Tamandua tetradactyla: one gene and its partners. The protein of the gene in region 4 interacts with the protein of the main gene of each other region in a biochemical or structural test. Links are inferred from orthologs where the notes say so. Each region holds a gene or a part of one and is shown on either strand. Other genes may lie near its edges.

The links.
Region 1: the proteins of PAFAH1B1 (region 4) and DCX form a complex in vitro, tested with the Homo sapiens proteins (2 studies listed by BioGRID). The link is inferred for Tamandua tetradactyla from reciprocal best matches to the Homo sapiens genes PAFAH1B1 and DCX.
Region 2: the proteins of PAFAH1B1 (region 4) and NUDC form a complex in vitro, tested with the Homo sapiens proteins (3 studies listed by BioGRID). The link is inferred for Tamandua tetradactyla from reciprocal best matches to the Homo sapiens genes PAFAH1B1 and NUDC.
Region 3: the proteins of PAFAH1B1 (region 4) and NDEL1 form a complex in vitro, tested with the Homo sapiens proteins (3 studies listed by BioGRID). The link is inferred for Tamandua tetradactyla from reciprocal best matches to the Homo sapiens genes PAFAH1B1 and NDEL1.

Annotation. Positions count from the first base shown.
Region 1 is NC_135353.1:58,844,065-58,852,274, reverse strand, and holds the start of DCX (neuronal migration protein doublecortin), read right to left. Parts: upstream 3,177-8,210; coding exon 2,813-3,176; intron 1-2,812. UniProt on the Homo sapiens protein: Microtubule-associated protein required for initial steps of neuronal dispersion and cortex lamination during cerebral cortex development. May act by competing with the putative neuronal protein kinase DCLK1 in binding to a target protein.
Region 2 is NC_135328.1:199,318,469-199,326,794, forward strand, and holds the start of NUDC (nuclear migration protein nudC), read right to left. Parts: upstream 3,354-8,326; 5' UTR 3,176-3,353; coding exon 3,095-3,175; intron 1,118-3,094; exon of another isoform or gene 934-1,117; intron 826-933; coding exon 748-825; intron 1-747. UniProt on the Homo sapiens protein: Plays a role in neurogenesis and neuronal migration. Necessary for correct formation of mitotic spindles and chromosome separation during mitosis. Necessary for cytokinesis and cell proliferation.
Region 3 is NC_135332.1:62,284,378-62,292,540, reverse strand, and holds the start of NDEL1 (nuclear distribution protein nudE-like 1), read right to left. Parts: upstream 3,130-8,163; 5' UTR 2,962-3,129; intron 2,789-2,961; exon of another isoform or gene 2,113-2,788; intron 1-2,112. UniProt on the Homo sapiens protein: Required for organization of the cellular microtubule array and microtubule anchoring at the centrosome. May regulate microtubule organization at least in part by targeting the microtubule severing protein KATNA1 to the centrosome.
Region 4 is NC_135332.1:56,417,541-56,424,767, reverse strand, and holds the start of PAFAH1B1 (platelet-activating factor acetylhydrolase IB subunit beta), read right to left. Parts: upstream 3,276-7,227; 5' UTR 2,891-3,275; intron 1-2,890. UniProt on the Homo sapiens protein: Regulatory subunit (beta subunit) of the cytosolic type I platelet-activating factor (PAF) acetylhydrolase (PAF-AH (I)), an enzyme that catalyzes the hydrolyze of the acetyl group at the sn-2 position of PAF and its analogs and participates in PAF inactivation.

The DNA of each region.
Region 1 (8,210 bases), on a different chromosome or scaffold from region 4:
CTAAAAATAGATTACGGTTAGGGTTGCACCCCCAGGCAAATTTTCTAAAAATCATGGAATTATACACTTAAAATGAGTGATCTTTATGGAATGCAGATTCTACCTTAATAAAATCATTTTGTAAAAGAGAGAACATTAGTCACAGTGATGTTAAGAACAACCCAATGATCATGTAATAGCCAGCTATAAACTAGGACAACTCAAAAAATAATAGCTACTTTTTACTGAGTGCTACTGTGTGCCAAGCAGAAGGCTAAGCAATTCATATCCATTCTCTTATTTAATACTCAATGCTGCTATTCCAAATTTATGGATGAAAAAGTGAGATTCAGGAAATCTAAATGGTTTTCCCAAGGTCGCACAAAGATAGCCGGTAGCAGACCATGGATTTGAAGCTAGGTTTGTCTGATTCCAAAGACTTCTCTTCCCATTACAATCTCCTGCTTCTGTGACTACAACTCAATTACTCTGATTCTTCACTGTGGGATCTTTCCAAACTTTCCACCTGCTTTCAACTTTAAACCTCATGGGAAGCAAAGTGTATACATTTTTGATCTTTCATTCAACCTCTTTCAAAGGTGAACAAGTGAAGTGAGGGGACTTCTGACCCATCCCTATATATACTGAGTGGTTCCAAAGGACAAAATAGGATAAAAAAACATTTTCTCTACCTTCCTCATCCCAGTGGTAGTGGGAAAATTGTTCACATTTCTCAACATTTTCTCAGAGATTTCCTTGACTGAATGGGCAGAACTCAATATTAGTAGGGCATCAAGGCCTACTGCCTGTTGTAGATGAGAAATGAACAAATGCAACTAAGCCGAGTCACATGGATGTACCATATAGTCACTAGGATGTACCACTGTTTCCAGAAGTGGTTGATGAGTGGAGTACAGTCTGGCAAGACCCAAGGGAAAAGAAAGCTGCAGTCTCTTCAAAATTACATTTATTAGTTAAAATGAAGTGTGTCTTTATCACCAGACACACTCTCAACACATACACGTATACACAAATCCAGGGAGAAAAATCAAAATCAAGATCAAGGACTTGCCTTTGAGCAGGAGATATTAAAATGGATTTGTTGGAGAAATCTATACATGATACTTCTCATATCAGGCACAAGAAAGCATTCTAATCCTTGTTCCTAATACAACGCTGTTTGGTTCAAAATACTGCCTTAGAATACACTGTAGCATTCAGAAGATCACAACTGGTGACTCAGGGTGCTTTTTTATAAAAAATTATTAAAAAAAAAAACCCTGAAACTCAACTGAGAAATGGATTTTACAATGACAAAAGAAACACACCCAATTGATAACTTTGTTGGACAGCTCCCGCAACACGCCCTCGTTTACCCTGGCTCTCCTTTACATTAAGATATGTGCTCAGACAGGTCAGGAAGGGTCTAGAATTAACCTCTGTCTGACCATCCAACACACGATCAAGTAACTTAAGCCTCCTTGAGGTTGCCTTTCAAGGTCAATTATGCAGAAAAACCTTAGCCTTAAGGTCTGAGACCTAGATACAGCAATTGGATGCTCATTGTCTCTCATAAGTAACCGGAACTAATCACTTGGCCCAACTTGGGAAATAGCAGCTACTTGAGAGAACTGTGGTCTTTTACAAAGGAAGCCCTGCGTTCTCCTTTGTCTAGGAACATAAGAAACCTAGAAGCAGTAAAGCGGAGGCTGGACACTCTCATACCAAGTTATTTAATATACTCTAGCTCCTTCCTTTTTGGCCATTTCAAAATTTGGTTTCCCTAGATAACTGCCTGCTCCAAACTCATCTTTGCTTAGGGAATGGAGAGAGTGATGAGGAAGGGCTGGAGAGTGTGGGAGGGGGTTCGGGTGAATATTTTCATTATCACCACTCCTTTAGGCTGTCTTTTAAATCATTGTTTCAGGTTAAACTGATCATATATGTTATAACCATCAATTTAAAAGTAGGGGTAGGGAAGTATTCTCAATATAATTGATTGGATAAGATAGAATATTAAGAACATTTCCCAAGATCTATTTATTAGATAATCAAGAAGACTTTAAGGCTGAGGAACTTTTGGCAAGAGCTTAGATTTTTCCCTGTTTTGCTGGTGGGTACAAAGGCTGACGTATTTGCAGCAATCTAGTTAGAAAATAGAGTCCAAAACCACAATCTACCGAGGTTTGAAAGGAATTTAGATACAGTGTGTCAGTTCCTATTCTAATAAGAAAAGTCTTTTTTAAAATACCAGACATACCTACAGCTTTCTTTGGCATTTCTCCCAGTGACCTCAGCCTAAGGGACACACCCTGAAGTGGGCTTTTTAGAAGCAACAGCTGAGCATTGGCCAATTACCTAAAAGTATAATCATCTGTGAATATGTCCAGTAAGTCCTGCTTTTAAGGTACATATTTCCAATGAGTTGCAATTCACAAAATAGTCTCAGCAGTTCAAAGGAAACTTGGCCATAATTCCGTCTCTCTGCTAACCCAACCAACGTTTCTTCCTTATAACACCTCTAATTATTTTGTGGTCTGCCTCAATAATGCTACTCAGGGTTAATTATGAACAAGAGGTAGCGTAAATGCCACATTTCAGATTTTTCTTTGTATACTCTGGTGGATTAGCACACTGCATTATCACTTCCACCCCAGAAGAAACTAAGGATATAAATGGTGATAGTGCTGTTAATACGTGCAGAATAAGAAATCTGAGCATTAACTCATTGACAAACATATTTCCTAATTTCTTTTGATGTAATCCAAGAAATGTAACTATAAACAATGGTGTCACCCTCCCCTCAAGGACCATCACCCACCCATTGAATTACCTTCCTCTAGTTCATCCATGCTTCCAATCTTTCTGGATCCATCAATAGTGTAAATGTATCGCACTCCTTGAGGCAGGTTGATGTTGTCAGACAGAGATCGAGTCAGGTCAGCCAGCAAGGCGTCGAAGCTGCGAAAACGGTCAGAGGACACAGCGTACACAATCCCCTTGAAGTAGCGGTCCCCATTGCGGTAGAAACGTACCTTCTTGGCTTTCTTTTCATTACTCAGTGCCTGCAAGGTTCTGGTTCGGTAGAAGCTACAGTGGGCACTGTGAGTGGGACTAGGCAGTCCATTCATCCGTGTGCCTCGCATGTTCCTGGATGTCTTATCTCTTTCGTCAAAGTGTCCAAAATCAAGTTCCATATTTTGGTGGAATCTCAGAGACCTGAGGGTTGGAGAAAGGGGTGGGGGAATGAGGGGTAAAGAGAGGAAAAGAAAAGGGTATGAGAAGGAAAAAAAGAATAGAATTTAAATATTAGCCAGATCCAGATTCAGATCAGCTGCTTGTGAAAAGAACTGGTGGAAAAAGCCTGTGACCCATCTGCTACTTGCCACTGACCTGCAGGAATATGGATCTTAATAGAGAAGAAGGAGGAGCTAGGGGGTGTTGGTGGTTGTGGGGGCTGGGATGAGAGATAGGGAGGGAGGCACTTCTGGCACTGTTCCAAGCAGAGGAAAGGGAAGGATTTTGAAATAGCTTAAAACCCTGAGACTTAGTGACAGTGGCTCCTATCAAAATGTAACTTCGGGCTAAATACGTTTAAACTGGCATCTGTTTCCTCACACATGCCCACAGGACTAACAATTGTAAATGAATCCACATTCTAACAAAATTCCCTTTGAAGAGAACAAGAGTTAGCCAAGGTTAGCATCTCTAGTTTAGGAAGCAGTCTTTGCATCTCAATACAATGACTGAGAAGGAGAGTGTTTTAATTTTATTCCAAACCCTCTTCCCTGCACTAATGTGTGCATCCCCTCCCCCCAGAATAAACCAGGATTCTCATTTAAAGGAACAGCCTCCAGGGACTAGCCAGCGTCTTTGTGCTATTCATCAAACCCTTTCCCCACCAAGCTGGTGCAGCTATCCAACATTCATAAGAAATAAGCTGGAAGAAAAGGATTAGAAAAATCCGTTATTTAACAAGTTATTAGGTCTGCTTTCCCCTGTGCCATTTGGTCACAAAATCCTTTTCTTCTTTTCTCTCTCTTTTTTTTAAGTTGCCCCATCCCCTCCCCACCACTGCAACCTAACCTCATAATGGAATAATTTAATTGTTGAAAGATTCCCACATGAGTCCCTGAACAACATATGGGACCTTTAGAAGCAAGCACACCTTTCATTGTTCTGGGTTTCTACCCTGACTGATGGGGTATTTTGTCCTCACAGTGGGCAATTCATTCCAAATATGTCTATTGCCCAGGTGCATTAACTGAGGCAAAAGATGGTCATCTGTCAGTCTTTGCTTTCCTCTCTCCTGCCGAATCAGAAAAAAAAAAAGAAAAAAAGATTCAAAACATGAAACCAAATACAACCCAAACTCCCAAATGCTAGCAAAGGTAATGACATCCTAGGAACCAAACTATTAACATGCATCTCACAGATGGGGATAAAAGGACTCACAAACAAGCAGGGCTTGGCTGCTACATAATGCCCCATCGAGATCTTTGCAAGGGATCAGGAGGACAGGAGATAAAAGGGGGCTGGTGCTTAGTAGGTTTGCCAGGCTCTGTTCCCTTTTCTTCCAATGTCACCATGACCTGTGCTGAGCTCAGCATTGTCTGTGTCAAATAACCTGCAGTGGTAAAAGACCCCACCTCCTAAAGACAAGGAGCAAGCATTTCTCCAGTCGTGCCAGTACCATCTCGTTTTCATTTAGGATCGGGGTGGTATTATTCTAAATAAGCCTCACATTGAAAACAAAGAAACATTAAACTCACTTTTCCAAAGGCAAATCCCAGGTAGAGACTTAAGAAAAAATCCACTAGAATAAAGCAACAAGGGAGAGGGAGAGAGAGAGAGAGAGAGAGACGCTTTGCCTTCTTGTGCTTTTCCCGTTTGACATCTGTTACATTCTGCCTGAAAATCTCTTGAAAGCCCCACTCACCGGTTTTCTGCTGGTTGGGTGGAGATGCTGAGAGAAAGAAAACCAATCTCTCTATGCCTTTGTTGTCTGAGCTCCAAGCAAGAAATTCCTGCCAGGGTGGATAGATGCCTGCTAGGTCCTAGTGCCTTGTCCAGCTTCTCCTCTGTAACTCAGGTTCAGTGAATCCCCCCAACCTCCTATGATTAATTACATGTGTTTTTTTTTTTCAATTCAAAAGCAGCATTAACAGAAAGGTTTCATTTATAACCAACAGGAAATTGCAGGGTAGCATAAAGATTGCACAGGCAAGTTCAGAATGCTCTAATGAGCAATGTGCTATCGTTTTCCTTTAGGGAATTGGAAATTTCACATTACCAAACCCTTGGCCTAATCTGCATAGGGGCTAGACTCAGACAGCTAAACCAGACTTCTGAGAAATTGTAGTTGTCTTCCTATCACTCCCTTGAGAGAAAGCAATCAAATTTGTAAAAATTTTAAAGACATGTTAGTTCAGGCATCATACAACTGGTTGTTTTTGAAATGGAAGTTTAGTGGAATAGACTAAAGGGAAAAAAGAAAGGGATAAGGAAAGGCAAAATAGTTCTAGAATTTCATGCAGGATGGGGTTGAAAAAGAACCTACCCCAAATACCTTTTAGCTTGGTGTAAACATTTAATTAATGGGATATATGATGCTTAATTCTGCTTTATGAGTTCAAATCAAATGTGAAGAAGGCATGATGGCTATAAGGAAAATATTAACATATCTCTCCTCAAACTGCCTACTTGCCACAATTTGAATTCTTTATACCATTAATGTAATAAAGGGCACTGAAGCATACACACAGAGCTCATTAGATCAGGCTAAATTATAGAACAAAAGAAGAGGAAGGTGAAAGTGAAGAGTGGCAGACTCTTATCTTTACAATTGAGGCTACGGGAATTGATAAGTAGCAACCTTGAACTATCATGGTTCCATTTTTGTTTGGCCTTCAGGCAGCTGAGAGGTAACAGCATATTCAATAATTTGTTATATCTGATAAGAGCAACCAGCTCTTGGTCTCATATTTAAATACTTCATGTACTTGTGTTTTAATGTAAACTGCCTCAAAGTGGGATAAAAATATTGTCATTCTTCTCTGTTAAGTCATGGCTCATCAAAGCCTAAGCCAGATATGTGCTAGGTGGACAACCTCAAATGAGCAACCTGCCCAGTCAAATACTCTCAACATCTTGCTACTATTCTCCCGGTTTCTAAAAAAGTGTCTCAGGAAGTGCATTTGTCTGCCTGGTTCTTTTCCATGTGTTTCTGCCTTATGCTGTGAACACCTCTTGATTAATCAGGGTGATTCAGGTCAGGGGTAAAGGAATATCAAGAACATATGGAAATTCCAACGAATGATATAGAAATGGTACCAACTTCCTTGTTCAGCAAGACCAATGTCTTAAAACTTTCAAATCATAAGTATATAGTATATTTACAACACCTAAATTTGTAACAGAACCCAAAATCACTTTATTTCTGGTGAGGATATAAGAATGAATGGGTGCTAAGATTTAAACATCAAGAATTTGAAATGGATCTTAAAGTAATCTTCCTTATGATATAGGCTTTGCATCACTATCCAGGAAGCAGCAAAATGTCTTTAAGACACAGGCTAGAATAGATAGCTTTGTTTGTTTATATACACCAGAAAACAGAGGGATAGACAAGATCAGTATTTCCCAATGTGAGGTGTGTGGATGTTAATGTGTCCCTTAAAAACTCAAAAAAAAAGTTCTATGGCCAAAAATGTTTGAAAAGTAGTGGTATAAACAAAGTTAAACAGTTTTCTTTATTAGAAGAATTTTAAAACCTTTAACACACCTAAAATATTGTGTAAATCTCCAAGAATACAATTTACTATAAAGGGCTTCACACAATTAAAAAATCTCAGAACATTTTATTTTCTGGGCTTCACACTATTAAAAAACATTTTGTTTTCCATGAGCATCTCGTAGACCAATGGTCTGTGGGGATAAAACTCGTTCTAAAACAGGACTAGAACTTTTCACAAAGATCTTTCTTCTGAAAGAACTCTCAGCTACAAACCAAGATCTTAGTCCTCACATCCTCTGGCAGAAGACAAGGTCTCAGGCATGAGTCCAGAGGGGAGCTGCATCTTTAAGTATGGAAGTCACTTTTGAAGATCAAAGGGGAATCGTGGTTGAGGATTCCATAGAATAAAGAGATTGAAGGAAGAGCAAAGTAATCTTATTGTGGGAAATATAGCAATATGGCTCTTTCAGCAATTGTGACGCACCCAGTACCACAGGCAAGATGTAGGGTAGAAGATTTCTATCACAGAACTTGAGGGTCCTAAAGACTCATCTGAGGAGACAACACAGCCTGCAAAAATCATGAACAAGAAGGGTTAATCTTTCTTGATATCCTGCAGTCTGGATTAATCAAACCGAGCTTAAAGAACAGGGTCAGAAAACAAGACTATTCATCACATAAGGAAGCAATTGTTAGTTTGTTACATATCAGAAGTACAGAGAACAGGGTATCAGGTGGGGTGAGGTAAGCAAACCGGAAGTGAGGTTAGAAAATATATTTATACTGTTTATAGGGGACACAAAACTATTTGAAATAAATGCATCCAACAAATATATGCAAGAACTTCATTGAGGAAATCATAAAACTGTATTTAAGGACATAAGAGAAGCAGTGAATAAATGTAGGACTGGGCCAGGCTCACAGATAGCAAAACGCAATATTTTAAAGGTATCAAAATTCTCCCCAAAGTAATCTAAGTATGTGAAAATATTCCAATAAACTCCAACAGGAATTTTTGTGAAACCTGAAAAATTGATTCTAAAATGCTGATGAAAGAATATAAAACTAAGAATAGCCAAAAATTGTGAAAAAGAAAATTTAGAAGGGGATATTTTCCCTGCTAAGTTCTATTGGGAAGCTATGGTAATGAAGACAATGTGGTGTTGGCCTGAGAGGTGGTGGAGGCGGGGAGGGGGGGCAGACAAATGTCAATGGAGGAAAATAGAGAGCCCAGAAATAAATACAAGTATAAATGGGAACTTGGTAAATATAGAGTTGTGGTAAGCACATGGGCTCTGGAGCCAGACTGACTAGACTCAAATTCCGACTCTTCTGATTGTTAGTTGGTGAACTTGAATGAGGTAGTAACCTCTCTGTGCCTCTGTTTACCTATCACATGGGGTTATGATAATAATAGTATCTATACTAGTTGTTGTGAGGTTTAAATTAGTTAACATATGTAAAGTACGTAGAACATGTCCTGGCACATAATATG
Region 2 (8,326 bases), on a different chromosome or scaffold from region 4:
CAAAGTAGCCTCAGATCTTCAAACACATTATAGAACATCACCTTATTAGAGGACTTATGCCACAGAAAAGCTCTTTATAAAATGTCTCCTTGTTACTGTCTGAAGCTTAAATGAAAACAAATATTTAAGTTATAAAATCATAGTTCAGTGATTTTATATGATGTATCAATTTTCAAAAGATGTAATTATAATGAAATACACCCCTAGGAATCAGAAGACAATTCAGTATCAGGGGAGAGAGGTTCAGATCCAGTATAGCAAACCTCAAGTCACAAACCCTTGAGCTTTGGGTCACAGCATCTAGACCAGTTGGGATTGGTTGACTTTGAATTCTCGTCTTCTAAGCCTCAATTTCTAACATCCTCTGATTATAATTAGTTAAACCTCTTCAATGAAAAAGGAACAAAGAATAATGCCAGTGACAGAAGGCGTATTTTAGAGTAGACTCTAGTCCCAACCCCAGTTCTCCCACAACTCAGTTCAAGACCTGGGATAAGTTGCAAAACATCCATGAACCAATGTCCTCATGTGTAAAATGGGGGTAGTAACACCTGCCTCTCTTGTAGAATAGATACAGCAGCTGACAAATTGTAGGGCTGCAATAAACGACAGCTTGCTTCCCTTCCCCTATTCCCTGGCCTTGGTGTTTTGCTTCTGCTGAAGGTTACTATTATGCCAAAAGAAAGCCAGGTAAGCTTTTCTCAAGAGATAGAGCTACCCAAAGAAGAGCGGGCCCCCAACACATACCTTCTCAGCCATTCCCTCTTCTCCTCCAATGAAGAAGTCTGTTTTACGTCGTAGGAAGCTGAAGAAGGTATTGACAAGCTGAAAGACAGAAGACTGAATTTGTGGGGCATGTCATATTGGGAATCCTCCACTGCACAAGAACCAACTTCCTAAGTTCAAGAGAACTTGGGACTTAACTATTCTCACCTGAGTCTTCCACAGGCCTCCTTAGTCACTCCTGCCAGGAAGCCAAACCTAACCTTAGCCAAACCACTTGGAAAGTGGATTTCTCATATCTTGTGTATATACGTGCTCATGGTTCCATACTTCTTGTGGTGTTAGAAGTAGCCTGAGGATGTAGAACATTCAAACCTCTGCACCCAGGGCTTAAAATACTCTTAAAAGGAAAAAAAGCTATCCAGAGTGGCACTGGTTGAGCTAGCAGGGCAGCCAGAAAGAGGGGAGGAAAGGAAGCCACCTTAAAGAAGGGCAAGACCAAATAACTCTGGCTAAGGTACCATTGTAGCCAAGTGGTTAAGAGCATGTGTTTGAGTGTCAAACTGATTATTTATTAGCTGTGAACTTGGGGAAGTGTCTTAACTCTGTAAAGCAGGAATAGTAGCAAGATCTATTTCAAAGGACCCTGTGAAAATCAAACAAGGTAATGGAGGGAAGGCCCTTTGCAGTGTTCAGCACAGAACAACAGGCCACTACCAGAGCATGGACTCCTCGCAAGCCGGAGTCAGGTGCCATAGCTTATTCTCACTCCTTCCCCAATGCCTGGCACATGCAGCTCAGAGTCCATGCTCAGTACAGTTCTTGATTAATGAATAGAGCTAGTAGTGACCTAATGTTAGCATATCCAAGTGCTATTATTTGCCCATATAGTTCTAAATCTGATGCTAGAATTTATCTCAACGATACAATTCCTGCTTCTGGATACTTTTCCAATCCACTGAAAACTGAACTCAATCCTAAATCTCATTTTGTCTCAAAGATTTAGGGGAAGGTAGAGGGCAGAAAGACATTTTACACTTGCAAATTAGTTATACCCTCTCTACTTCCCAGGGCTCGGGAACCCTTGCACACCATGGACACCTGAGGGAAATAATTGAAATGGACAGCACAGTGAAAACCTGCGCACAATGATAAGCAGAATAAGCAAAGGATTGTGAAAAGCACACTGGCCTAAGGAGTTTGGTCCAGGCTAGGTCAGAGCCGAAGGGATGATCTCAGCCAAGTCCTCACCCCTCTCTGGGCCTTAGTTTCATAAACAGAATGACTGCTCTGGACTGATCTTGACAGGCTTTCCTATTTCTCACTTTCTGTTTCTGTTTCAAAACACAAACTCCAAAATCTACACTACGTGCCCTTAAAGTTCATGGACTGATCACTCAGCATGAATCATGCTTTTGGAAAAGCACTTTGCTATCTCCATCGGGGACAAGGAGGTTTCTGCTCAAGTCTGTATCCCCAAGACCCAGCCCAGGGAGTGTCTGGCACACTTCAATCACTCAACAAATGCTGGCTGAACTAACAAGCCTGATCACTGAAAACTCTCCACTGTCCTTCCTCAAGATACCACTTCTCTACAATGATTCAGGAAAACAGGGATTCATAGAGCCCCTTCTCAGAAATAAGGAAACTGATGCTTGAGGAGGGGTGGAACGGTCCCAAGCTGGTGGGTGGTGGAAACCAATTGTGAGCACAGGCCTCCTATTCTCCCATTCAAGACCTTTTTAAAAAGGCCACGTGCTAACACACCCTCCACCCCCAACAAACACCCCACAGACTCTAGTCCGCTCACTGCAAATCTTGGTAGATGCAAATCACAATGCCTAACAAAGTTTATCCTAAGGAATGCTCTTCGGGGGCGGCCATCAATGGGAGCACCGGACTGGAACCATGTGGGAAATCAAAAGGGAAAACCCAAGACTCTGGGTATGGGTTTCAACGGGCACAATGAAAACAGAATAAGTAAAGTATTGTGAAAAGCACACTGGCCTAAGGAGCTTGGTTCAGGCTAGGTCAGAGCCTAAAGGATGATCTCAGGTAAGTCCCCACCCCTCTCTGGGCCTCGGTTTCATAAACTGAATGATTTGTTCTGGACGCCGAAGTGGCAGCGATAGGAGCGAGAAAGGCGCCCGGGGGCCGGAACTGATATGAAAAGACAGGGACACGCCGGCTGAGAGTCCAGACCGGAAGCTGGAGCGCGGGGAGAAAGTGGGGGACTCGCGGAAGCCCGCGAGCCCCAGGGGTGGATCTCGGTCCTCGAAGGCAAAGAAGGGAAGAGGGAGCGTGATAAGAGCCGCCCGGAGAGGCAGGCCACGCTGAAGCCGGCTGGGCCGACGCCGCGCGGGGCCGTTACCTCCTGCACGCCGCCCTCGTGCTGCTGAGCCATGGCCAGCAACATGCCGTCGAACCGTTCCTCTTCCTGGTCCCCACCCATCGCGCCGGCCTCTATCCGTTCCCCGAACTCCGCACTCGCGCCCCAAGCGCTCCTCGCTCCTTTGGTCGCGTCGGGCCAACGGCTCGCGTCCTTCGCTTTCCGCAGCGGAGCCGGAAACACGCACGTGAGCCCGCGGCCCGAGCCCGCCTTCTTCTCTTCCTCTCCCGCCTCTGGCCCAGGCGGTGGCCATTGGCCGCGCGGCAAACATCCCGTTTCACAGTCCATTGGCCGTGGATTGCTCAGCCAATCAACGAGGCGTCCATGAAGCGGTGGGCGGAGCCGAAGGCCTAGGAGTTTGGCGTCAGTTGCTATGGTCACCAAATGCTTTGGAGCCTTCCAGAAAGCACAGGGCTCAAATCTGGCGGGATTGGAAATTGGAAAGGAAGAAACTTTGCTTTTCTGTTTTGTAGAACGGTGGAGCTGAAAATACACTTAGTCATCTTTTCCAATACTTACAGGAGGCAACTGAGGCCCAGAACGTAGAAGGGTCTTACCCGAAGGACCGCCCCACCCCCACCCCTCACAGTCACCATCACAGACTCAACGAGAACCGGCTTCTTGCCATTCAAACTCTGCAGCTACACAGGCCCCAGGCTTGAAGAGCCCTCTATGCTTGGTTTACTACTCCGCTGTCGCAGTCTTGAAATTCTTAATAATTTTTGAACAATGAGCCTCATATTTTCATTTCACACTAGGCGGCACTGATAGTGTAACTTTCCCTGTTCTCAGCCTTCACTCTGTCAATGTGGGAACAGATCCTGGCCATCTAAGGTGGCTCTCTCTACTCTATTTAAACAATGAATTTTATCATCTTAGTGTTTTTAGGGACTCTACACTATGCAGTTTTCCCTTTTGTATCTCCTGCATCACAAATTTCTTCCTTCTGGATCATTCCTATCTACTTACAAATATGGTATAATAGTAATTAAAAAACAAAATCCATGAGTTCACTTTTCTCCTCCTGCTCCGATTTTTAGTGCTCATTCTATAGCACAATTCTATGCTTGTTTCTCCACTTTCCACCTCTCATCTTGCCTCAACTTATTCTAATTGGTCTTTTCTTAAACAGCTCTGATCAAATTACAATGACCTACATATTACCAAAGCCAATGGACCGCTGTTATCTTATGCAACTTTTCAGCTGCAACTGCTGCAGTTGACCCCTTCTTCCTTCTGGAAACACTTTTTTTCTTTAGGCTTCTGTGTCACCATTTAACTGGTTTTCTTCCCAACTTATTAACATTTCTCAGTGTCCTGTGCGTCACAGACTTGTAAAATGTTGGAGGTTCTATCCCCTGCTTTTTCCTCTTTTCCTCTCTAGCCACACTCTCTCCTTAGGTGATCTCATTGACTCCAGTGGTTGTCCTGATGATGTCCAAATCGATATCTGTGGCCCTGACCTTTCCTGAGCTCCAGGCTCATCTATCTAACTGCCTCCTGGACAGCTCCACTTAAATAGTAGACATCTGAAAAGTAACATGGCGGACTTGGAACACCCCCTCCCCAACTACTTCCTCCCAAAGTCTTCCTGATTGAGTTAAATGGCTCTTTCAAACTCCCATTTGCCAAAGCCAAAATCTCCATTCATTCACACATTTGTCCAAGCCCAATTCTAGTTTCATCTAATCCATTAGTAAATTCTGTCAGCTCTCCCTCCAAAATATATCCTGATTCTGATCCCTTTTGATCATCTATGCTGCTACCACTCCAGTCGTTGCTTTGACAACCACTCCTACAGTTTCCTAACTGGGCTCCTTACTTCCTTTCTTGTCCTTTTATAGTCCACTCTCCACCCAGTAGCCAGATCAATCCTTCTAAAATGTAAGCCAGATTTTGTTACTTCCTTCTTAAAACCAGCCCTTTGGTGGAACTGCCATTGCATTCAGGATAAATTCCAAACTCCCAACTGTGGCCTCATCAGGGACTTGGCCACCTCTCCAGTCTTATTACATCCTGCTTCCTTCTTCATTCACCCGGCTCCCTCTTCACTGGCTTCCTTCACTTCTTCTAATTCCTTGCCCTAGGTTCTAGACCTTTTCTGGCCAACTCCTTTTCATTCATCAGGTCTCAGCCCAAGTGCCACTTCATCTATGAGGCCTTTACTGACCATTATGTACAGATTAAATCTTTATAGCTTTTACTTTCAAAATGTCCTCTGCTATGTGGCCTCTCTCTCCAGCCAACACAACAAGCAAACTCACTGCCCTCCCTCTGTCTATGTGGGACATGACTCCCAGGGATGTGGACCTTCCTGGCAACGTGGGACAGAAATCCTAGAATGAGCTGAGACTCAGCATCAAGGGATTGAGAAAACCTTCTCAACCAAAAGGGGGAAAGAGAGAAATGAGACAAAATTAAGTGTCAATGGCTGAGAGATTCCAAACAGAGTTGAGAGGTTATCCTGGAGGTTATTCTTACGCATTAAATAGATGTCACCTTGTTAGTCAAGAGGTAATGGAGAGGCTGGAGGGAACTGCCTGAAAATGCAGAGCTGTGTTCCAGTAGCTATGTTTCTTGACGATGATTGTATAATGATATAGCTTTCACAAAGTGACTGTGTAATTGTGAAAACCTTGTGTCTGATGCTCCTTTTATCTACCTTATCAACAGACAAGTAAAGCATATGGAATAAAAATAATTAGGGAGAACAGATGTTAAAATAAATTTAGTAACTTGAAATGCTAGTGATCAATGAAAGGGAGGGATAAGGGGTATGATATGTATGAATTTTTTTCTGTTGTCTTTTTATTTCTTTTTCTGTATTGATGCAGATGTTCTAAGAAATGATCATGATGATGAATATGCAACTATGTGATGATATTGTGAATTACTGATTATATATGTAGAACGGAATGATCATATGTTAAGAATGTTTGTTTTTTGTTATATATATTTTTTAAAGAATGTTTTTGTTTGTTAGGTGTTATATTTTTTAAAAAAAATTAATTTAAAAAGGGGGAAAAATGTCCTCTGCTTGTCCTTTGTAATTACTTATTATAATTTGAAATTTATGATCAAGAAATTGTGGTTCTACACCAAGATCCAGTAATCTTCTCTTGCTGGAATATAAGCTCTATGAAAGCACGTGTCTGATTTTTCACTATATTCTGAGCATTCATCTCAGAGCCTCAAACATTGTAAAAACCTCAATAAATACCTGGGAAATGAACAAATGGTCTTTGCCTGATACCTTTGAATCTCATTATAAATTTATCAATAAATATTGGTAGAATTTACTGACTTCTCACTGTGTCCAGTACTTGACTGAGCACTTTAAAAATATTATTTGACTTAACCTATACAGTGTTCCTATGATGTAAATGCTGATATCCCCATTTGGGGAGTGAGAAAACAGGGACAGAGAAGTGAAGTCACATGCTGAAGTTTGCACAGCTGGAAGGGCAGAGGCAGGATTCAAACCCAAGCAATCTTGCCCAACAGCCCACACACTTACCCACTTCATCTTAGAATTCTACCTCCCTGAATTGACATTCTGATTTTGTAAATCAGTCCTGGATGTTTGTTTGATGAGAAACCAAGACCTGAAATTAGACCCTGGTAAGTTCACCGAGATAATAAATATTGTCCAGGAAGGCCCCTTGGTGACTAGTCAGCCTCCCCTAATGCCTTCTGACCCCATCCACATTTGGTAATGAGTGACGGCACTATGTGCTAAGTGCTTCATTAGATGTGGACTAGGTGACCTTGGAACTCAGGGAGGGAGCAATTTATTCTACTGAAGAGGTGGAGAGGGAAAGACCAGAAGGCTGTGCTTAAGTGGTAACATTGGAGCTAGACCAGGAGCTTACCAAGCAAACAGGCATCCCAGGCAGTGGGTGACCATGAGCAAAAGCTTTGAGGCATGGATGTGTATGACACCTCCAGGAAATGAAAAGGTGCCCAGTGCTGGCTTGCATACTCCCAATCCTTAACCCCGCTGACTGCAATCTGGGATTTTCCAGCTGCCCCCTGGACCAGTCCAAGACTTCTGCACACAAGAGTAACCGTATGCACCCTGGTCATGGGATTGTAAAGCAATTTCAAATACATTATCTCATTGGATGCTCTTTAATCTTACAGTTAATGTCCCGTCCAGTACCTGGCACATGGTAGATGATCAAAGTGACAGCTATTATTATTGTTAATGGCAACGATTGAGGTTTCTACTTGAATAGTAGCATTGGCCTCCCATTGCTGCCTGAAAATTAACTGAGATAACCGTTGTCAAGTACTTTGTAAACTGTGAAGTGCTATACAGATGGGAGCCTATCCTTTCTAGTTCAAGCTCTGCCCACTCCATTTTAGCATTCACTTCCACCACTGATGTGGATGTCCTGGCTCCCCTATTAGACTTGAAGCTACTAAAAGCAGGTCTGTGTCTCTAGATCTTAGATTTCCTGAAGGTTGATGCCTAAACTAACTACCACACTATATAACCATGAAAATCAGAAAATTAACATTAAATATTTTACCATCTAATCTCAGACCCCATTTAAGTTTCACCAAATGTTCCAGTGAAATTTGTAGTAGTGAAAGGACTCAGTCTAAAGTCTCTCCTGACATTTACTGTCATGTCTCTTTAGTCTGTCAGTCTGGAACAGTTCCTTGACCTTTCCTTGCCTTTCACAACCTTGAAACTTTGAAGAGTTGTAGTTATTTTGTGGCATGTCACCCAAGTTGAGTTTGTCTGACGTTTCCTTGTGATGAGACTCAGGCTATGAACCTTTATCAGAAATATCACAGAAGTGATGCTGTATTCTTGGTACATCCTATCAGGTAGTGCACAATTTCCATTTGTCCTGTAGTTTATTTTGGCCACTTGATTAAGGTGGTATCTGCTAGGTTATCCTTCCCCCTTTGTGATGAATGAGTATTCTAAAACCCTCCTCATACTTTCCATGTATGGTTTGAAACTATTATGTATCCCAGAAAAGCCATGGTCTTCTAATCCATTCTTGTGGCTGCAGACCTATTGTTGGGTGGGGTCTTTTGAGTAGGTTGTTTCCATGGAGATATGACCCACTCAATCCAAGATGGGTCTTAATCTTTTTTTTTTTTTTTTTTTTTTTTTTTTTTTAAAGACAGAGAAGGAAGGAAGGATGGAAGGAAGGAAGGGAGGAAGAAAGGGAAACATCTTTAAACATTTTCTTA
Region 3 (8,163 bases), about 5.9 Mb from region 4:
CCCAGATTGAATAATTCTAGCAAAGTTATTTAAATATGTGTTCATATGTCACACAAGTTCCTTTATTTTCTTACTGAATCTTATTATGTAAATTGAAAGCTGACTACAATTTTTCTAGTCAATCTTGTAAACTTGCTTACTGGCCACTCAAACAGTATTATAAACTACATCTGAAAATTTTACTTAAATTACTTCCTTCTTTTCCAGTAAAAACATTTGACCGGGAACCACAGGTACAGGACAGCATAGTGGTTACACGACTAAACTCTAAAACTAATTTGAGTTTTAATTCAGATTTCACTTACTAGTTCAACAAACTTGGGAAAGTTACTCAACCACTCAGTGCCCCATTTCCTCACTTGTAAAATGAGAATAATTAAAATTAATTTAAAAACTGAGTTAATATTTGCAAAGTACTTAGAATAGAGCCTGGCACATAGTAAACACAGCACAAATGTACGTTAAGTAGTAGACTGATGATTCAGAAGTTAATCTATGAAGTGTAAGCACAAAGTAAATATGCTTCAAAATTCTAACATAGAAATAATTCCTTAAAATTCAGGAAACTATATGCATATTCCAGTGATACTACCATTAGCGAAAACATTTTAAAAATTTCCCTTTTGAAATAGCTTTTAAGAGCCATGTTAAGAACTAAACAAAAAGTTCTTACTTTGCGGTCAGATTTCATTTGTATCGTTTCCTGACTGGTATTATATAGCTTTATCACTCTAATTTTATTCATCAGACTTACCCTTTCTAAAAATTAGACTCTTCATAAAATGACAAAAATTTGCTATGACGGCAGATATTCAAAGGAATGTTTCAGGGGCTTTAAAAACAGAATGTTCAAAGTGCTTCAAGTTACAGTGGGAGGATGTGTTCACCATGTTATTTGAATCTATGTAACTAGAGATAGTAAAGCTATAGAAAGTTAGCCAATACAGAAAAATATACTGCTAAAGAAATGCTTTAATGGTACATCCACAATGTTCTGACACTGAAATGAAGGCAGATAATTATATACTTACCCTTCCCCCCAATCTTCCACTAGTACCATGTCTCAACGGATGGCAAAAGTATCACAAATTTTACATCAGGCTTTACCATCCTGTGAATGACCTTCAGCTATTCAGTGACTCAAATCAACCCATTCGAGTATAAAACACTCTGTCTACAATGCTATATTTACAAGGAAACTACTCTGCACAATGGTAAGAAAATCTATTTTGCATATTATCTTCTTGCTAATAGTTGTAGAATGAATTATTGAGGCTGAAAGAGTACTTCTGGAGTTCACTGTAGGTAATACGTGAGTTTTTACCAGAATTCTTGGAGAATTTTTAACTTTTCAAGTTGATTATAAATATGGCCTCCCTTTCGGTCCTATCAAACTTCTTTTATTACTGTTTGATGTGCTAGAAATTCATGTCAGAAGTAATTTTAAGCTTTAGTAATCAAATTTATCTCAGCATGGTTTAAAATGAGAATAAATTTTGCAGATGTCACCAAAGTACGAACTAAATTTCTACCAAGGTATCTAGCTATTTTAAGCATTCCTTATCCAACTTCAATTATTTAAAGTCAAAACAGAACTACAGCTTCAAAGACTGAGCAAATTCTATATAGAATCCGGACCTGACCAACCTATAACCAAAGCCAGCCAAAAGTGTCTTTTTGCTTAAATAATAATTTTATAATAATTCAGAAGAGATACCTCACTCAGTTCCCCTTTACTTCTCTTCAACTCATAACTTAAAGCTGCATTTTGTCCCCACCAACTAATTCATTTCAAGACTCAGCTAATACTACCCTACTTCATAAATCGATTTAAAACAACACAATTAATCAGACAAAATAACTAACCAACAACCTACGAATAAGCCTCAGAGTAGGATTTTTCTCATAACTGAGTGGCGGTTTTTATACTAGCCATTTCAGTGCGCTCAAAAATATTTCAGTAAGTTATCTACTAGCTTCTGGTATTCCATCTTTTGACAAGTCAAATTTTCTGCCTCGCTTCCTAGCCGAGAAGGGTATCAAAGTCAGTTGAAAAGAAATCAGAACTCCAAGCTTGGAGACCTAAGTTCTGAGCCAAGCTAAGCCACTCACCAGCTGGTTGTACCCAAGTATAAATCACTTAACATCTCTCCCCCAGCAGGCTCCATTTCCCCATCCGTTAAGGCGCTAACAGAATCAGTCACAACCAAAGGATGATGAGGATCAAAGGATGTTGGCAAGAGGGTTCTAAGGGGTGTACACGAGCCACGGAAATGGAACGTAACAATCAGTCGTGAAAAATGAACCTTCACTTCCTTGGCAAAACTTAAAGGGTTATCTCGTTGCTTACCAACCTGAAAGGAACGAGCACAAGCAACTCGAACCCATATGATAACACTTTCCTGATCTCCGAAAGAGATGTTCAGCAGATCCGGGGGGGAGTCATGGCAATGCCATCCGAGCCCCGAAGCAGCTTCCGTCCCCGCCCCCCGCGGGAAAGCTGCGCTGAGGACTCCAAACCCAACCCGGCTCCAAACCTCCCAGATGAGGTTTTTCTTTCTTTCTTTTTTTTTCTTAAGGGGGGTGGAGGGTTGGGCGCGCCGCTGCCACCTCTAACAGGGCTACTCCTTGCGCCACCAGCGCCCCGGCCCACGGGGCCACGTCCGGTCTCCGTTCCTCACCCCACCCTGGGACCGCGGCACCTCCTCCAGAGGCCGCTGTGCTCGCTCCCTTTCAGGCGTCCCTAGCGGGCCGCACCTCGGTCCAGAGCGAGGAGGGGACAGTTAGAGCGGTTGAAACAGTTGCCCACCCCCCGGACTGGCCGTCCCGAACCCCGGCCCCGGCCCGGCCCGGCGGGGCCTCAGGCGCAGCTCCCGGTGCCGCGGGATCCCCAGGGACAGGCCTCGGCGCCGTCAGCCTGGCCCGGCCCCCGCGGGAGCGCCCCGAGCACAGCAGGCTCACCTCAATGTGTCAAAAGCGCATGTTCGCCGCCGCTCGACCCGCGTCTCTGCTCCGCTGGCCTGGCCAGGCCCGCCCAGCCGCTCAGCTCCGCTCCTCTCCACAGCCCTGAGCTCCACTCCGCGCACCTCGGCGCCCGGCTCCTCCCCGACACGTCAGAGATTGCCTGGGTGTCCGAGGCCATTCTGTGACGCTCGGAGGCGGGGCTCGGAGCATGCGCGCAAGCGCAAGAGCGTACGGGGCTGGGCGGTGGCAAGGAGGGCGTCACAGGGGGGCGGGTCTGGACCCGGCGCGTTGACGTCAGACAGGTGGTGTCCTTCTGCGCAAGCGCTTCGGACCCGCAGGGAACCCGGCTTGGACTTGACAAGGTTCACCGAAACAATCTGCGGTTCGGCGAAGTGGCACCACTGTAGAGCAGTTGGGAGGCCGCCTTCCTGTTTTTAGCCTCCAAGGCCTTTAAGTGCCCAAGTTCCAGTGTCCCCACTTATAAAATGAAGGTCGACGCATATTTCACCTCCCAGACCATCCCCGATCACCCAATAGAACAGAATAGTTTTCTAATTCCCCGTAATCGCGCTCATTAAGCTCTGTGTTGTCTTTCCAGCACTTCCACTGGCAAAATTGTGTATTTGTCCTTTTCTTCCTCAAATAGAATTTAAGTTCCGTGAAAAATGAAACCTCTTATGCCTTCTTTATCCCAACTGATAGCTTTGTCCCAGACACAATGAGAACTCAAATATTTGTTGAATGAATGAATGGATTTGTTGGGGGTCCCATGAGGATTCATATATATGTTTATTTTTATATTGTATATATCTGGGCACATATTTACTTAAATATGTGCTGAGTCATGTGTGTATGAATGTGTATTCATCTCTCTCAGATCCCAAAAGAACCCAGAATATATATATATATTCTGCAGGGAGAGGTAGCTCAGACAGGGGAAAAACGGAGATGGTCAGCTGTTTAGGGAGTGAAAATTTGGAGGAAGAGAACTGTTTTAAAAACAATTTTAGTAACATTTGCTGTGTAATATACAGTGTAATTCTTATTTCAGTGCTTTGGGGATTGGATTCTTGAGGTTTTTTGGACCCAAAAAATTATTTGTAAGACAAGCCTCAAGGAAATGGCAAGGTGATCCTGGAGGCCCTTTTGAAGGAGATGGACATGAACAGAAACAATGCAAAATGGATTGCAAGAAGTGCCCAAATCAATGAAGATCAGAGAAGTGGTTAATGAATTTGTGAGAAAGATGACACCTTAATCTAGACTCTGACAGATATAGGGTTGAAAAAATGATAATCATAGTAATGGTAGTTCACTTTTTTGGTGCAATCTTTATGTGCTGGCAATTGTGCTAAACACTAGACCTGCATTATTTAATCCTCACAATGACCCTGTGAAATGGGGACTGTTATTATCCCCATTTTACAGATGAGGAAACTGAAACTCGGCGAGGTGAAGTTGCCCAAGGTCACTCAACTAGAAAGAGGACAACTCAAGATTCAAACCCACTGAGTCTGGATCATCTCAGTCCAGAAACCTCACCATTAACCACCACTATCTAATAGCTCAAGAAAGGAGAATAATAATAATAATAGTAACTGCCATTTATTGGGCTAGAGCACAGAGCTAAGCACTTTACACACATTGTCTCATTTGCACTCACAACAAGCCTGTGAGGCTGGACTTATTGCATCCATTTTACATATTGGAAAAAACGAGGTCCAGAGAGGTAAAGAGGAGCTGGGGGTTAAACCTAAGCAGGTATTACCCCCAAGGTCTGGGGCCTGGGACACCATAGAAGCTCATGCAGGCTATCGGTCTCTGCAGGGATCACAGGCATGGGGATGATTACTGAACACTTTCCTGTGAACCAAGTGCCAAAGCAGAGCAGTCCCACCCTAAAAGGAAAAAAATAGATAAAGCTGCAGTCTTGTCCCTGCCTCCTGGCCAAGGTGCTGGGAAACTTACTGAGTCACCTAATGGCAGGCCAGGCCCCTCAGAAAACAATGGCATCATCTTCCAGCCACCGCCCCTCCCACCTAGCTGGATGCAGAACTGATGTTTGCCAGGACTGCTGTGTTGGCCCCATCTTAATTAAAGGGCTTTGCTTGGCAGGGTTCTCAGAGATGCCGAAGGCACTGCACTGATCTCCATGTCCCTGCTGGTTGACTTTCTCCCTGAGAGGAGGACCCAGGGGGCAGGGCAGGACCAGTAACAGCGAGCTCCCTTTGCCCTACCCCTGCCTCCAGTATGCCCATCCAGGGAAAATAAAGTGGAAATGAACACTGAAGACAGCCTCAAAAGGGAATAGAAGTTAAAAATCAGCCAATGTGGAAGTGGGCTGCCTCACCTTTCTGCCTTCAAAACCATTATGAAGGGGGTTGCAAAGGCATGGGTCCCAGAAAAAGGTCTTTCTTGGCTGGAACCAAGGGAGTCAATGGTACAGCCTCTCAGAATATTCATGAGCACCCCAATATCTTCCCCGCCCCAAATTCTGAGACATAGGAAACAGAGGCCAGGTACTACCCCCGAGTGGGGCAGGGCTCAACTGGGCCTGGATACAACCTCAAACTCCAAATGAGGACTTTTGGCCACATCACATTCCCAAATGGTGATGGGATGCACATAGGCCTGTTAGGAAAACGTGGAAGATATGGGACATATTTAACTCTCTGTTGAGTCAGATGAACCAGACACCTCAAAGTCATCAAGGGCTTGATTCAGCCTCATCTCTCCATATTCCTTTGATCAGTAGTTTCTGCTAAGCTTGAAGGGCCTCCAGCCCTCAGCTCAGGGCAGGGATCAGAATGGACAAGGGACCAGATGGCTGATTGGTTGCTACTGGCCTGCTGGATATGTCCACCTATTATACCATCACCATCTCTAGTTCTCTGTGTCTAAAACCCAAACAGATCCTCCTTTTGCCCTATCCAAAATTTCCAAAATGATTTTCATTTTCTGCCACTGCATCATCCTTCTAGTCACTGAGGCACAAAGCCCTTGTCAAATTGCCCCAAATTATCGCCTTCCCCAGCTCCCACTTCATTCATACAGTCACCAAATGCCCTTCATAAGCTCTGTCAAACAAATCCATTCATTTGTCAGTGTTTTCCCCCTCCCCATGTCTTCCCAGTCCAAAGTCTCCTATTTCTTTCTCTCCCTCCCAAAACTTCTCTCCCTCAAATTTCTTCTTTGAATTTCTGGGTTCTACCCAAGCAGTCCACCAACAACCCTCAGAATAATCTTCCTAAAATCCCACTTTGCAACAAGCATCCCTGGCTCCAAAACTTGCTTTGGTATCCTGATGCCATTGTGAAAAAGTACAAACCACACAGTCGGTCATTTAAGGCTCACCCAGAGCGACACTAACCCACTTCTTCAGTTTACATCCTATAGTTCACCTCTGTGGCCCAACCAGACCCTCAGCCTCCTTCCCCAAGAGAGGTTCCCTTCCTCTCTTGGCCTGTCTTTTATTGATTGCCACCCTGGCTAGCCCTTCCCACCCCCTCTGCCTGTTGAAATCCCACTCATATCCCACCTCCTCCAGGAAGACTTCCCTGATATCCAAAGCCCTCTGAGCTCAAGTAGAGCCTTGCACAGTTTACAGGAGGCTCGTGAATACAGCCTTTTGGTCCTGGAGGTGTCCATTCTCCCCCAAGGAACCTCACTGAGTGCAGGGACAGTGCTGATTGTTCTGATATCCACCCCCAAGAAACAGGCATGTAGCCAACACTCGCTTAATAAGCCTCAATGAAAGTAAAAGAATGACTCGAAGGTTTAGTGCCTATAAGTCCAAATACAGGACTGATGGAACTTTCCAGGGAATGCCCCAAATCTTGAAAACAATCACCATAGACAGATGAGGTTTCACTGGTAGGAAAGGCTAAACTTGGGTGATGCCAGGTAACAGAGGGGCAGGCATTAGAGTCACAGGCAATTACAACTTTTCTCCAGCCCAAAGCTAAACCCGAGTCTACAGTATCGGAACCCATGTCCCCAGTGCAGCATCTTTTGTTTTTGTCATAAGAGATAGTATTAATAGGTTTCTTTCTAATTTAAAAAATCTGTATACCTTGAACCTTGGCGTGAGTGTGAAGAGCTTTACAGAAAGAGGAAAATCTTTCATTCAACAGCTATAGGCACCATTGTAGGTGCATAAAAAGCACCCCACTAAGCTTAGAGTCTTAGGGAAAGACAGGCAATAAGTAAATATATTTTGCCAGGTCATGGAAAGTGCTATGAAGAAAAATAACCATGTTAAGCTCCAATGGGGGCGGCTCCCTCGGTAAAAATAGGATCGAGGCCCTTAAAATAGAAGTCTGCTGTAAAAAATACAACAGAAATGTGGAATTGAATAAGAATGTAAAAATATGTGCAGATGCCTTAAATAGAGAGGTTCATCCTACTTTCTATCATAGTACAGGTCAAGAGAAGGCCAACAACAAATATTTGTTGAGTGTAGGTGGGCTACAGAATGCCACAGCCTTCAGTGGGGGTCTCTGGCATGGCAGGGGAGAATTCTACCACTGAGCCACCACCACAACGCCCTCATGTTTGGTTTTAAAATGCCCACTTCTGGTTGGCCCCTGACCCTTGCTCGGCCCAGACAGCCCCAGGCTGGGCTGCCCCTGCACCACCTTGAAAAGAAAGCAAAGCTCCATCTGTTGTCTTTATTGCATCCTCGGCAGCTTCTGGAGCAAATGGCGCTCACCAGTGACTTCCTCGAGGGTCCCAAACTCGGTTCCTCCAGCAGAATCTGTCCCATAAATTTCAAACTCCGGTTGGCTGTACAACAGAACCTCAGGAACTGGGTAGAGATGAATTTGCGCTGAGGAATTGTAGGCTCCAAGCCTCCTTCCCATCGCACCTGTCTGAGAATGCAGCTGCTCCTGACCTCAGGAGCCCTGGCCAGGTGCTTTCACCCTTAGCAGGCCTTGAAGCTTTCTTAAAGATGGCTCTTGGAGGTGAGGAAAATGTGGACAACTTAGGTTGGGGCACATGATATGCTGGTACCTGGAAGGCAAGAGCCCTCATCCTTATCTGGGGGGTAACCTGAAGATGTGCAGCCTCTTTTCTCACTACCAGTGGAACCTGATGGACTCTTTTGGAGCTTGTCCTAATTTCTTTCCCAGCAGCCCACCTGAACTACCTCCGGTTCTGGAATGATCTGTGGCCTTGTGGTCTCCCTGGCTTCAGAGC
Region 4 (7,227 bases):
AAATGTCTGATAAATAATAAGATTATGAAGAATTTTTAAAATTGGTCTCCAAATTAAGCAAAAGATTTTGCCACATGTCAGAAAACAAGCACATTCATTCAGAAATAAAGCGCTCTTACTCAAAACAATTTATCTCAAGCTCCTATCAACTAATAATTTGAAAATCACCACTCAGTGCAGTTTTATAGCTCAAAATAGTAGGGATAGTGACAGGTCAGACACATAATATAGTGACTTCTCATTCCTATCCTTACTCATTCCTCACCACATACAAGCCCTTCTACTTTCTTATCACATTAAAAATAACAAAAAATGTAAAAATATATCATACATTGACATTCATAAAGGTTTATCAAAATCAATTGTCACATGAACTTAAAATTCTTTTGAAGATGTTTATTCACACGTACACTTGATATTAAAGGGACTTAACCTCTCTTATGTCAGTACCTTACAATAAAGTCCCTTTCAAGGGGTAACACTAAAGAACCTACAGTGCAAATTCTTATTCTTTTGATGTTCATTATTTAAAAATCACAAATAGAATACTGTTTTAAGCCAAACAGTAAATCTGTAGCTTTCTTCCAATTTTTGCAGTATTTCTATTACTATTTCTATTCAAATACTCTTGGCATTCATTAATTTACACATATTTAATTAAAGCAATAAAAAACATTAGCAAGGGTGTGTGTGTGTGTAGTCTCCAGACAATAAATGTCTGCTCTAGAGCAGGGTCATTGCTTTTTACCAGAATCATTACATACTGCAAAAAACGGTGGAAACTAAAAACAAGATTTTAATACTATCTAGAAATGCCTTTGCTGTAGCAACAATTAGTACTGAATCATCTTAGAAACATAAGCAAGAGAAAAATGCTATGAAAGGGCAATCTAGTATTTCACAGCTTCTGCTCCCCTACTCCACCCAGCCTTCTCCACTCAATGGCTGTTCACAGCATCCACAAATACAAGCCAATTTTTTAGAAAGGAGATGGGGGGAAATAAAAAAACAGGGTCTGCTCTATTAAAGTCAATGCATGCAGAAATATTTTGAGTGAAAATTGGGTTCCTTATTATGATGCAAAAAATGCATACACCAGCTTCAAATTTGTTTTAGATCCTCCCCTTCTGAACAATTCAAACAATGATCATTTACAACAGAACATGAAAAAATAAATCACCCTAAATACAGATTACCCTCCCGCTTTAATATAAACTGCAATTTGCAATTTAAGATAAACTGCAATTATTTTGCAAAACTGTGTCCTAAAAGACAACCATCACAGATTTAAATGCTAGCTAATGCTTTAGAACCATACCAAAATTTTTAAAATAAAGGTTAAGTAAAGCTTTTAATATATCTTCAACATATCACTACCGACATAACCAAGCAAGAAATTTTCCTGATAAGAGATTGGACCCTGCAGCAATCAAGCCCTGCTGCAGCAAAAAATTTAAAGCAAACACTACTGTGGCAAAAGGGGAGGGATGACATTATTACTGTACAGAAGGCCCAAGCACTATCTCCTCCGCCACAGCTTCAAAATGAAATTCACACAAAACAACCCACCTCCTAACAAGAATAAAATAAGCCAAAAATGGTAAATTTTTTGCTTAGCCTTTAAAATGTTATTAATCTCAAGAATTATGTATTTAAAAGTAGAGGTTGGAATAACAGTATCTTTATTCTCTCTCTGGATTGCTTCTTAAGAGAAAGGGGGGCGGAGTGGGGGGACCTTGGCATGACACCGCCCATTCAGAATGAGACCTCAAATCTGGTCCTTCTCTTTAAAAGCAAGATTTCTTAACCAAAGGATTGACATAAACTGGACGCAAACCCCCAACCCCAAAGAAAATTTCCTGCCTCCTTCCCCAAGGAGTTTCTTGCTAAGTCACTCTAGAAAGGCAGAATAACAAATAAAGAGAAGGTACCTTGAACTCTCCTACCTTATATTAAAACCTCTCTTCTCTACTCATGCTTAGGGAGATAGCGAAGAGTTAAAATTTGCCTACCACATCAAAGGCATTTTCTCACCTGGAAAGCTAAAGAAAGTGAATATATAGGTATTGCCTCTTAAAGAAGTGGGGAGATTAAATTAGATGAAGGGGAATGGTTGAGGACCCGAAGCTCAGTGTTACAACGTCAAAAAGCAACTCCCGTTTAACGAGTCGAGGGCAAAAAGAAAATCCTGTCTCATTTGGTGGGTGGATGCTGCAGATTGTTCCGTGGGTCAGGCCGCCCTTCCTTGGTGGGAGCAGAGGCTGGACCACTGCGAAAGTGGGGGGGGGGGGGCCAGAAGGGGGGTTGGCTATCCTCCTCAGGTCAACTCCATCCTAGGGACAGGTAGGGGTCGGAATGCCTGGGAGGCCCTTGTGGGTACCGAGGCGGCGCGGGTCTGAGCCGGCTCCCCGAGCCACCAACCGCGGGTGGGGTGGGGACTGCGGAGCTCGCCTTCCGCGACTGGGAAAGGAAGGAAGGCCGAATGCTTTCCCCAAGATCAGAAAGCGACTGCTCCCCACGCCCTTCCTACCCAAGAATACTTTTCTTGCTAAGTCACCAGGGGAGGAGGGCGATCCCTTCTCCGGGAGGGCCGCGAGCGGAATCGCGGCGACACCAACAGCCCCCGAGCCCGGGCCGGGGAGAAGGGGAACGAGGGCAGCGCCCTCCCAGGCCTGTCCACCCCTCCTCCCTGTATCTCACTCAACGGCCGTCGCGGCCGCCATTTTGAGAGCGAGGAGAGAAGAAGAAGGAGGAGGCGGCGGCAGGGGGAGGGGAGAATGGGAGGGAGGGGACCGGCGCAGCCACATCGTCAGGCCGCCGGGCCGAGCCCGCAGCCGAACCAGCACGGTTGAGAAGACAGAGGGGAGGGCGCAGACCCTCGCCGTCTTACCGGAGCGCTGCACCGCCGCCTCCGCAGGGCCTCTTCCGTCCTTCACTCCCATCCACCGGCGGGGGAGGGGGGGAGGGAGAGGGAAGGGAGGAAGGAGGGAGGGAGGGAAGGAGGGAGGGGGAGGATGGCGCGCTGGGCCCGGTCCCGGGAAGGGGGAGGGGAGGGGAGCGGGCGGGCTCCTCAGCCGTTCGGGGGCTCGAGCCCAAGCCCGGCGCTCGCGATTTCTCTCGCTCGCGCCTGAGCGCTTCCTTCCTTCTCTTTCTTGCTTCCTAGACCCCTGAGGTCGCTGCTCGTTCTCTTGCTCACTCGCTATCTCGGCCACCCGACTCCGCCGCCGCCCCGCCGCTCCAGCTCCGTCTGTCACAGGAGCTGCCCCAACGCTCTGACGTCACCGCGCCGCCGCCGCCGCCGCCGCCCCAGACCCGTCGGGAAGAGAGAAGGGAGGGGCCCGGGAGCCGAAGGGGTGCGGCGCATGCGCGGAGCTCGAGCTAGGGCCGGGCCCTGAGCCGCGCGGCTTTTAGCTTAGCCGCTGAGAGGCGGTGGCCGGTGCGGCTTGTCGGTGCGGAGGGTTGCAGGGACGTTCTTGCCCAAGAGGCACTCCTAGCGCTCCTCACGCTTCTGTAACATTGGGAAAGGGTCCTCGGCTTCCATCACCCGAACCCTCTCCTAACTGTTTTGACTCCTCACAAACTCTGGCTCTTGCTCACCTTCCCGCGCTGCTCTTGCCAGCATCTGGCGCTGGCCCCGCTTCCCCGGCCAACAGCCGGGAGCGATTGGAACCCGTAGATCCCGGACCCCCCCACCCAAGGACTTGGCGGAAAGGGAAGTCCGACCCAGGTGGTTGCCCCACTGCTTTCTGCTTTCAGATCCATCTCCCAGTTTGGAAAAAAAATAAGGAGTGAGGATATTGGCTTGTGTTTTGCGGGGGTGGGGTAGGGGGAGAACTGTTGAGGTTAAAAAAGATGAAATACCCATCTTCATTGTTTATTACAGATTTTTAATTCGGAGAATTCGCTTTTAGATGTGATTCAGCTATTCTTTTTCTTAGTCCACTCCCCACCCACACCCACCCCACCCCCCACCCCCCGCACACGCGCGCGCCTGCCTTGTAGAAATGTAGTTCCAGCTCTTTGGGCTTTCCAGACTTTGAAAGCCCCTTATGTGTGTGCGTTGGCTAAATTGTAGGGTGAAATCTGATAACAAAGAAGTCTTGGGGATTTGTAGTCAAATTACTCCACCCTTAATTTAAAAGAAGTCCTATTTGGGGTTCTGAATCATTCAATATGGGATAGTCTTAATAAGAGGCATCTAGTATGTTTATCTCATTAATTTGTATAGTCCAAGAAAACTTCAAATGGAACATAAGTTTATCATTATGTTTAATGATTTCATCTCTTCCATTTTTGTAGATAAAGATGTGCAGCTACTACGTTTCTTAAAAGTGAGACAATTTGGTGTGTATCGCCTGGAAAAACTACTTAACAGAAATGGGACATTGAGTAAACTACTATACCTCTTTGGCTTCGATTTCTCTGTCTATAAAATAGACCTAATAAATAAAGAACTTGTAAAGCTTGTGTGAGAATTACAGAGGAGATGCTGTGTCTATGAACCCTCTCTCCTTAATGGGGACTCATAAGTAACTCATATGTAACCATTACTATTGCTGTTGATACCAAACCAAGTTTCTTTTTATCAAGAAAGATTGTAAATGTTCCTGGAGGTGTTCAAGAGGAACATGGGCCAATTGTCTAGAGTATTTGGGTTTTTGCCTTCATAAAGGCAGGGAATTAAATCAAATGGTCTCTGGAAAATCTTTTCCAGGTTTATGAGTCTTGGATTCTCTAGATGAGACACTGTGCTGTTGCTTCCAATGGCAGTCAATAAACATGCAATAAACTAACACTCCTTATTCTAATAATCTACCCTCCTTTCATTTTTATCTTTAAAAATACTTAGTATTGCCTGAATCACACTACTTGATATTTAATCAGTCTGATAAATCTGTGCTTTATTTTTAAAATTAATGCTCTAAAAGTCAGCAAATTTGACCAGAAAGAAATCAGAATCACATTGATAAGCACTGATTTAATACAAATAGGTAATACCAATTGTTACAAACCTTGAACTCCTAACTTGTGCATTCAAAATCTGTGTTTTGTAAGTATGCACTAAATTGAGATCAGATTTTATTTCTATAGCAATCCTTTAAAAATGATAAAGTCCCTTTAGAGGAAGGTATAAAAATTTTCTCACTGGGTTGTGACTCTTCTGAACAGAAATAAAGCTGTGTTATGTGCTTAATTTGATGTGGAGGCATGTGTCATGATTCTATTCACTTTCTTTTCAGTTGCTGAAAATGATGGATCTATCTTAATAAACACTTCTCTATTGAGAATGGAGAATTAGGATAGCTATACTATCAAAATGCATAAAGATTAATCCAGAACCAACTATATCCTTCCAGGAAACATTTAACAATGGATATTTTGGATGGTGTTTCTTGAAAAAATTAAATATAAACATCCATGTTACTTACCACAATCTAATAATCTTCCCGTTCATTTGAATTGCAAATCTGTAGACACTTTCAAAATGGAAACATTTGTTTCAATTGCTGCAGTAATAGTGTTAGTTTGAACAATTCTGCAAATAAGCTGACAGGAACAAACATTCCAAAAATTTCTATTGCAGAGAGGACAAAAATGTCTTTTAAAAATATGTCCGGAGTGCAAGGGTAGGTTAGTGGTACAGTGCTGGCCCACTGTGTGGGACAACCTGGTTCAATTCCTGATCTATGCATCAAAAAAAGAGTATGTCCAGAAAATTGAGACACCTCCTAATGGTGGTCATGAATGATGATCAAGACAGAAATGTTTTTATAATCGGTATCTTAGAAAGCAAGATGTTACAGCGCAGATCCTCAGTGATAGCAAACCAATTTTAAGAATAGACATGCAAGAGATAGTTTCTCTTAAGTCTAGTATAACTATGATGCTGTAAGTGAAAAAGCTATACTTTATTCTGACCAGAGCAAAAGAGATAAAGGCACAGGATTATCAAACTTCAAAAAGAACAAAGAAGTTTTAAAATTTAGAGGAAATCTTATACAGACATTGGAAATAAAGGCAAAGCAAGAAGAATTGGCGAAGCACATGACTTAAGGATCTGGCTTGAGAGCAGAACTAGTATCCAGAAAATATAATTGAGGATACCTGGGGGGGAATTTAACTGTGGATATCTCTGGATAAACATTTTAATTTGAGCATTCACTCAAAGAATAGTCATAAACTCTATAAAGGAAGCCTAGAAAGGGATTAAAGTACAATCATTATTTTAGATGAAATTTCTTATAAGGTCGAATTCCTTGCATGGGAAGTCACTATTTGGGAATATTATCATTTATATAAATAGGATTGTTTGACTCCTGCCTGTAATGGGCTGTGTGTCAGGGATTTCAGGTAATCTGGGATCCCTTATATAAAATGTGGGAATTTCATATGTATTTGTTGAAACCTTTCCACCCATTTTTTTCCTGAGGTCTTTTCCTACTTGTAAGTCCTTACAGACCATTTTGATTCATCAGCTTATCTAGCCTAGTCAGTAATGATCACAATTGGTCATTTTAATTCAGACAATTATTTACACATGCCTCTAAAATAAACTCTGAAAATTTAAGAGCTTAAGACAATAAAAGTATGCCCAGAACAAAAACCTATTCACAGTGAGCACAGATGTTAAAATATTACTTTGAGAATTAAACTGTCCTCTGTAGTTTATAGGCAAATGTAAGTTGTTGTATGTGCATACTGATAGCAAATTAACCTGGTGAGAAGGTAGCTCTCAAGCCTACAAGTTCTATGAATCAAAGTCCCATTTGAAGGAGAACCATCACCCAACTGGCAAGAAATATTAGAAGAGACTCACCCTAGAAGATTTTCACTAATTAATTTGTGTGTTTGCAATTCCATAAAGCATGGGCATGTGAACGAGGGCAGGTCCAACTAGATCAGTCATTCTTCATCTCAGCACCATGCCATCCTTATGTGTCACAAACATTGGGCGACTATAGAAACAATTTAAAGGCTATTAAAAGAACAAAACTCTCAGCCTAGACATGGAAGGGATATTTAAAAGTAGCACTTTATAACCTGAAATGTTTTTTTCTCAATATAGTAAAATAATTTTAAAAGTCCTAACATAAAGAAGCATAATGCAAAAGGATGTAATCAAATTCATTGGTGAGATCAGCACAGTAAAAGAAGCAAAGGGAAAAGCAAACTTTACTCCCTTTTATGCTTGCTTTGTGTCCCCCGGGGAGTAAAAGATTAATTCGC